2 linked regions of the Neodiprion lecontei genome follow. The protein of the gene in region 2 interacts with the protein of the main gene of each other region in a pairwise test. Links are inferred from orthologs where the notes say so. Each region holds a gene or a part of one and is shown on either strand. Other genes may lie near its edges.

The links.
Region 1: the proteins of PRKCA-binding protein (region 2) and replication factor C subunit 4 interact in a two-hybrid assay, tested with the Caenorhabditis elegans proteins (3 studies listed by BioGRID). The link is inferred for Neodiprion lecontei from reciprocal best matches to the Caenorhabditis elegans genes Y57G11C.22 and rfc-4.

The regions. Positions count from the first base shown.
Region 1 is NC_060263.1:25,723,716-25,727,649, reverse strand, and holds the start of replication factor C subunit 4, read left to right. Parts: upstream 1-1,387; 5' UTR 1,388-1,565; coding exon 1,566-1,678; intron 1,679-2,526; coding exon 2,527-2,802; intron 2,803-3,631; coding exon 3,632-3,934. Other genes in the region: ribonuclease H2 subunit B, read right to left, coding at 394-481. UniProt on the Caenorhabditis elegans protein: The elongation of primed DNA templates by DNA polymerase delta and epsilon requires the action of the accessory proteins PCNA and activator 1. This subunit may be involved in the elongation of the multiprimed DNA template.
Region 2 is NC_060262.1:20,832,126-20,836,059, forward strand, and holds the start of PRKCA-binding protein, read right to left. Parts: upstream 2,909-3,934; 5' UTR 2,489-2,908; coding exon 2,448-2,488; intron 2,305-2,447; coding exon 2,161-2,304; intron 1,880-2,160; exon of another isoform or gene 1,876-1,879; coding exon 1,810-1,875; intron 1,575-1,809; coding exon 1,256-1,574; intron 762-1,255; coding exon 566-761; intron 420-565; coding exon 1-419. Other genes in the region: uncharacterized protein C16orf52 homolog A, read left to right, coding at 3,555-3,657, 3,799-3,934.

The sequences.
Region 1 (3,934 bases), on a different chromosome or scaffold from region 2:
ATACAATGCCCCAGTTTTCTAGCCGAATTATGAACTTTCATTTGCATTTCAAAACATAACAAACTAGACGACAGGGCATTTACATTTGAAAAAATAAGTAATTTCAGATTTTTCCTGGAGGGAATTTGTGTAAGTTCAGTAAATTGATGCTGGTCAAACAATTGTGGAAGGACAGTAGCAGTCTTTTGTAATTACATAAAGAATAACAACCAGCATCGTTCTTTGATCGATGATAGTATTGATCCAGGTATAAAAAGAAATAGCATAGGACTAAAAATTCATGAGAATAATGGTGTTGGGAAAAGAAACGGGTGAAAAAATTGATTGCAGCTAATTTTTACCCTACAGTTGGCCAGTTGTTTGATTTATTTATTCTCTTTTTTTTTTATTTACCTTTCATAAGGAACACCCAAGTGTTGGCTGCCGGGTGCGTATTGGACGTTTTGACGCATTTTTTCGGCGAGGCTTTGACACGCGGCATGTTACTCAACGTTGTCAATTGACAAAATTGATAATTAATGCTGATTTTTATTTAATGTAATGGGGGAGACATACAGGAATAAAGTTCAGAAGTCGGCCATTTTTAACAACTACCCAGTACCCGGCCGTCGGCCTGTCCGCAGGTTCGGCAATACCATTTTCACTGCTAAGTGCAGCCAAGGTATAAAACATAACATAACATACAAAATATCTCCTATAACTCGACGGAACACCACATGCAATGCCCTCTAGTACCGAAAATATGAAAATGCGAGAGGCCATCCAGTGCTGGATTGATTGAATCTCATGACTCAGTCGTCCTATCATATTTGCTTAATTTAGTTATGTATTGCATGTTGTTTGTTGGAAAATTAAACTCTCTAGTATTTGCTTTACCGGAAACGGGGGCGGGGGGGGGGGGAGGGGGGGGGGCACGTCGCGCAAATGTAAATTTCTCACCGCAAAAGAACGGCTAACGTTTTCGTGTTTCGGTTACCAATTTTGAGGACTTTTTTGGAACTTGAGCGAAAATTTTTTTGGCCTACGTGATTCTTTATTAAAAATTGTAAAAAATGAGACCTTATAGGACCCTTAACGATATGTTGTACCAGAAAGATGGAATTTACAAGATTGGGACATTTTTTTACTTAACGAGGTACATAAAAAAAAATTATCTTATCCCTCTAGGGTTAATAGCCAAATTTGACAACAATATATAAAATTGAGGAAAATTATTAATGAAAAATTGTAACATTAATGTCAGCAGTTTTGTGTGTATGCAAATAAAAATTGATCGATTTTCACTATTTCTCTTCGCACGACCTGTTGTATAGGGACTCAAGCACGACTTTCTACTTGTGCTGATCGCCGCATCTTGGCGTCTCTATTTGTAATATCCCTTTGATATCCCTTTGCTTATGGCAGTTTTTAGTTATTCCTGTAGTCTATGCTCACGAGTATCATGAATATAGGAAAACGTATCTTGCGCATGCCGTGAATTTTTTTACTGACGTATGAACGCGCGAAGTTAATACATTGGCCGGTTTTCTATCATTCAACGTTCAAGCGATATAATTTTGAACACAATGCATGGTTTTTTGAAAAGAGGTAAACTCGGCCCCAGTGACAGAAAGCCTACTTCAAGTTCGAGTTCAAAGGATAAGCGTAAAGGACCTTCACCACCATGGGTTGAAAAATAGTATGTCTAAAGTAATATTATTTATTCGTGGTAATGAGTATTTGTCGAGTACGAAAAAAATATTTTGAAAGGAGTTCTTTCACGACGTGATATCTGTGTTATTATTGAATGAGTTGCACTTGAACTTTTCAACTTCGTATGCAAAAAATTTCAGGATTGGTTACTGAACAAATATACTAGAAAAACGTCTGAAATCCCAATCTTCAGCACGTAGTTTCGTGAGGAGACTTGCTTCTGAAGCAGTTTGGTTAGATAATTATAATACATAGATATTTCAAACTTCTCTTGAATATAAGTCCTCTGCGGTACATATTATGCTGATTCTTGATTATGTTAAAACATTGGATCATAGAAAGTTTTGAATTTCTTCAATCTTGCAAACCAAAATTGAGGTTAATTATGTAGTTTCATAATAATTTGCAAGGAAAATTGAAAGAGCTACATCATATTTACTTGAATTTTTCATCGAACCAGCTTGATTGAAATCTGGCTTCTGCACTGATGTTGAGTACCTTTTATCTTTATCTATTAAATCTTTTCATTTTTTTTTTGAGAGTGTCAAATGGTGAAATTATGTGTAGTGTTCAAAAGTCAATATGATAAGGGTTAGACGTTCATTCAGTTGGCATGAAATGCTTAATTTAGATATTGCGCCATAATAAATTACCCACTAAAAGAGACCTGACTGTAAGAACCTCTGTAAATACTTTAGCTGTATACTTAAATTATCAAATTTGACTGCCACAATTGGTTGAAATAATTGTTTCTAAATATGCCGCGGTTCAAAGTGTAGACCAATGTCACAATTCCATTATGACACGTTAAGCACATTTTTCTCAATTCCACAGTAGACCCAAAACTGTAGAGGATGTTGTTGAACAAGGCGAAGTAGTCAAGGTCTTACAACAATGTCTAGTTGGTGGCGATTTCCCCAATCTGTTGTTTTATGGCCCACCAGGGACGGGAAAGACCAGCACAATATTAGCTGCTGCAAGACAATTATTTGGGGACATGTACAAAGATAGGATATTAGAATTAAATGCCTCTGATGAACGTGGCATCCAAGTAATCAGAGACAAAGTTAAAACTTTCGCACAGTTGACAGCCAGTGGCACAAGACCCGAGTAAGTGAAAAAACTAATTCTATGTCATCTACCTTTGAATTTGAAATCCATATTATTATTTGAACCATTTTAGCATACATTACACAATCCTTATAAAAATAAGTATTATAAACCAATTTAACAGAAGTTCAATACGTTCGGCCATGAATTGTAGCCCCTGGTCTCAACTTCATGTATGTTTCTGAGATTAATGAACTACCAGACTGATTATTTGTGTCTGCTGACTAGATTAGAATTTTCTACATCTCCAATTTTACATATTTGATATAGTGTAATATATATTGTAATATAAGGTAAATTTGACATTATTGGAGATGAGTGTAGCACATACCTAGATCTTTCTTTCATATAATCAACAATTTACACTGCAAAGTACTAGCAATTAGCAAACATAGAGACTGTGAATAGTTACAAATATCTATTGCCAATGATGATTTAGTAAAAGGTTTGAGAAATATTTTGAAATAGCATTTGTTAAATTTAGTGGAAAGATATCCCCAGTTGAGCTCAGGAGTTGTTATAAAATTCTTAACAGCCCTTATTAACAACGGGACATAAAATTTGCTTGAGAGGATATTTGGAAGTTTTAAGTATTGACTTTTTATCTTTATAAAGCATACATCTATCGAAATATGCAATGCATTTTCCTTAGATTTATTTTTTGAATATCATTCCCAAGAAATGTAATGTTATTTCAGTATTTCGTATGACAACTATTCTATTCTGAGGCAATTAATTAATAAAATTTTAGTAAGTATTCCTTTGGCAAACGAAAATCCAACAAAAAAGCATTGTAATAACTCATCTCTAATTTCTTTTTACATTGCAGTGGTAAACCATGCCCTCCATATAAGATAATAATTCTTGATGAAGCAGATAGCATGACTAATGCTGCACAAGCAGCGTTACGACGCACTATGGAACGTGAATCTCGCAGCACACGATTTTGCCTAATATGTAACTACGTCTCTCGGATCATAGAGCCGTTAACATCTCGGTGCACAAAATTCAGATTTAAGCCATTGGGTCAAGAGAAAATCATTGAGCGCCTAGAACTAATTTGCAATATGGAAAATTTGAAAGCAGATAAAGCTGTATTGATGAAGGTAGTCGATGCTTCTGGTGGAGATAT
Region 2 (3,934 bases):
TTTATTATCGAGCAATTCAAGTTTCACGAGAACATCAGACCTCAATTTAGCGAATCTCGTTCTCGCCTCCTGTCGGCATCTCAAAACAAGTCGATATTCGTAATTGCCGGTCTCTACACGGTAAAGCGGCTCCTGGAGCGCCGCGTAACTCTGCTCCTCATCGTCTAACTCTTTAACTTTCAAGCAATAAGAAAGATACTCGAATTTGGCGTCCGCGTATTTACTGATCGTTAATCTCGTGTCTGGAATGGCTTTATGAAGATATGTTCCAAGGTCGCTCAAAATGGGCTTCACCGCCTTTAGCATCGCTACTCCAAACTTTTCCATCTGTCTATGTTGCTCGCCGAATTGCCTGAATGCTTCGCTCGCACGTGGTTGAGGCTCCCTTACACCAATGGCCGCAAAAGCATCACCAAATGCTGTAATGATGGAAGTACATGCCTTGAACAATAACGATACACTCAATTTTGGTAGCTCTATTGACAATTTAGGATATCATTAGACTCAATTGTGATCAATATTGGGCAAAAGCTTTCTGCATATTGTATTAACAATTTCATCATACCTTTGTATACTTGAGTGAGATCAAAAAAAGCTCGTAGAGTGGCTTTTGCATGAGCCACTAAGCCCCTGTATAAATTTTCTGTCCGTTGCAGAGCAGCTAATCGCTGAACCAACGCATCATTACATAATATAGCTCGAGACAAGCCCAGGGCATCTGCTGTGGCACTCCCCATTCCCTCAACCAGTCTGTGCTTGACCTTTAATGACGGAAAATCCCTCTCAAAAAAATTGAATTATAAGGTTTTGCAGCCTCATTGAAAATAGTTTATTCAAGGTCAGCTAACAAACTTCAAGGAATGTTACAATTTTAGTCCGGTAAGATACGTGACGAAAATTAAATATCCTGAGAATTCACAAATTCAATGTATTGTACTTGTGAAAATTTGATAAAATTATTTTGCGAGAATCATCCATTTAAAGTTCAAAAATTCGATAACTACTGAAATTCAAAGCTCAGAAACACGTGAACCTAAATATTCAAATGAGATTAAAACTCGTAATATCAAAAATTTGAATTACTAATTGGGACTTTGTTCATACAACGAACAAGGAACATATGAATCTCATCAAACGTGAATCTATTAAGTTATCAAGGAAGTAGCAAAACAATCTGACCCTATCCGCTATGCAGAAGCAGTGTACTTTTGTTTATGTGATTATCTCAAACACTAATTTAAAATGAAACTTTCACCTTTTTCAGAGCAATATCAAGGGAACGTCCTTGCCTCGGATCAGCATGCAGTTTGTTGTAATTGATGCTGACTTGTCCATCACAAGCCTGAATCATTTTCGCCACTTCAACTTTGGTCTTTCCTTTAACAGAGGCTCCATTAACTGCAACAAGTTCGTCACCGGATTGCAGTGTACCTTCTGCAGCAGCTGGAGTGTTATCAAACACTTGCACAATGTAAAGACAAGGGCAAAGCGGAGCTCCACCTCCAATGCTGATCCCAATTAAATTGCTGCTGTCTTTCTGAATCACGACATTCCCCGAAGTTATGGTCATCCCCCTATTTGAAGGATACTAGTGTTAATAAAGATTAGGAGACGTTTAACATAATTGTTACAATGTCATTATTTGATTTATGTGCAAGTAAGTTTTTTTCATAGAAGAACATTGGCATATATATATATATATATATATATATATATATCAATTGCAGATGCAAATTTACAGTTGGCAGCATATAAGAATAAGACAAATAAATATACAATATTAGATCCAACCAATCACATGAAACTTACAGTTGGCTGTTAGGCAGCTGGGTGACAGTGACCACTTTGTCTCGTGCGACCAGTTCTATGTCTGGACTAACTCCGATGCAGCAAGCAATAAGAAAATAGCGCAAGATGCAGTAAAACGACAATTCCTTTAAAATTGGGAGCTCAAATCTTGAACTGGATGAAACGGATTCGGAAGGAAATGTTCTTCGACCACACACACACGCATACCCACGCACGCACGCACACACACATGCAGACACGCAGAGATTTAATATCAGAAATTCAAAACAATTTTCTAATTTCACACATTATACACATCTTTGACGTGAACAAACTCATTTAAATGTAATATAATCAAAATAATATGCATACATGCGATCTTCCATCATGGTCAGCTGATGCAGTTCGACGTTAGCCCGAGGCAGAGCGGTTAAAGAAATACCGAGATCTTCGTTGACTCCATTTGTATCGGTGGAAGGTATTGTGTCTGGAGGCGATAAGAAGCTGTTCGTTAGACTGTGCCGCCGAGCGGTGACAGTGGTTGAGCATGCATAAATGAATACAAGAAACAGAGATAAAGTGAAATTAACATAAGATAAAGCATGATAGAGCGCACACACACACACAAGCGATGTGTAGTTTGTGATAAGTAAACCAACATTTTATCCTCCTCGAAGAAAAAGTCGTCCTCAAATTCCATGTTGGTAACCTTATTTAGGTTATATATTTTATATTATATTCGTATAAAACTTATACAGATCGTATAAAATATATTGGTAGGGATTGATTCCTCGGTAATTACTGTACGGGTCACTTTGAACGCTGCGACATTCTCCGGTCGGCGGATATTTTCCTATTCTCACGACTTCAATTATCTTCTCAAATTCTTGGGAAGGGCTTTTTTCGATTTTGTCAAATAAGTTCAATTGCCGCCTTTAACTTGGCTCAACTTGGCTGAATCTGATCAATTTGACATTTGGATTGACATTTGCTATGGACTAATTTGCCTTCACTCATCGCTGTACCCTTTGTGTTGTTGTTCCATGCTGTAAGGCTCCGTTGTTTCAAATTTACTGTGGTTCGTTCGTCTACATGATTTGTTTAGTAGTGCCTCCATGTTCCAAAAGACGTCAGAATTAGACGAATTTAGTCGAAGTTTACGAACACACTCACACTACTATGGGTGCGTTCCGAAAATATTTCCCAGTGTTATCACGATCTTTTATCTCTTGTGCGCTGCCGAGTTTATGAGTAGCTCTGCCTCTGTCCTAGGAACTCTTAGCACTGTCTGTAGTGTGGAACGCACCCTATGAATTGATGTACGTATGTATGTATGACACACCTGGTTCATGTTTTGGATTGAAAAGGGCAGAAAGTATGTTCCCTGGGAAAGGGATTGAAGCATTGACAAGAGTATCCAGAAAATCTGAGCTGAGACCACGGAGTACTCCGTGTTGTATATCTTACTTCGTGATACCTTCATAACTCGACGTATTTGATAATAATCAACATAATAATAATAAAATCCAAACTTAAAATCCACTAAAATCGTGATCAGTAAGATAATAAACAACAAGACAGATAATATCTGTCAAGATACAAACTGACCTATGAAATCGCAGTGGAAATATTGTTTAGAGAAAATAAGTGACGCGAAATTGATTGACGAGGAAAAGAGAAAGACAATGGTGAAATCGTGCAAGGTAGCGTAAACTTCGTATCCCGCATGAAAACAAACGTAAAACGTTGTGGAACAGTACAACACGATGGATAAACTGACCATTATATCGGGGACTTTGTTTTTGGCAGCTGACATGTTCGCAATCGTCAGTCTGGCCATGCCCGATTGGATTATTACCGATGTTGGAGGTTTGCATCAATCAAGGATCACTCAAAACTGATATTATTCTCTATATGCATGTTTTGTCAATATTAAAATGAAATTACCAATGAAACAAAAATTGATTTTCTCATAACTATACTGACCGTAAAATATGCCATGATTTTTAGGTGACACCAGACTCGGATTGATGTGGTCATGTATGACGCTGTACAACCGGCCCCAAGTCTGCTATCCTCCTGACCTTCAGCTTGAATGGCTACTCGCGCTCGTCTGCATATCCATAGGGTGTATTCTGATAACAAC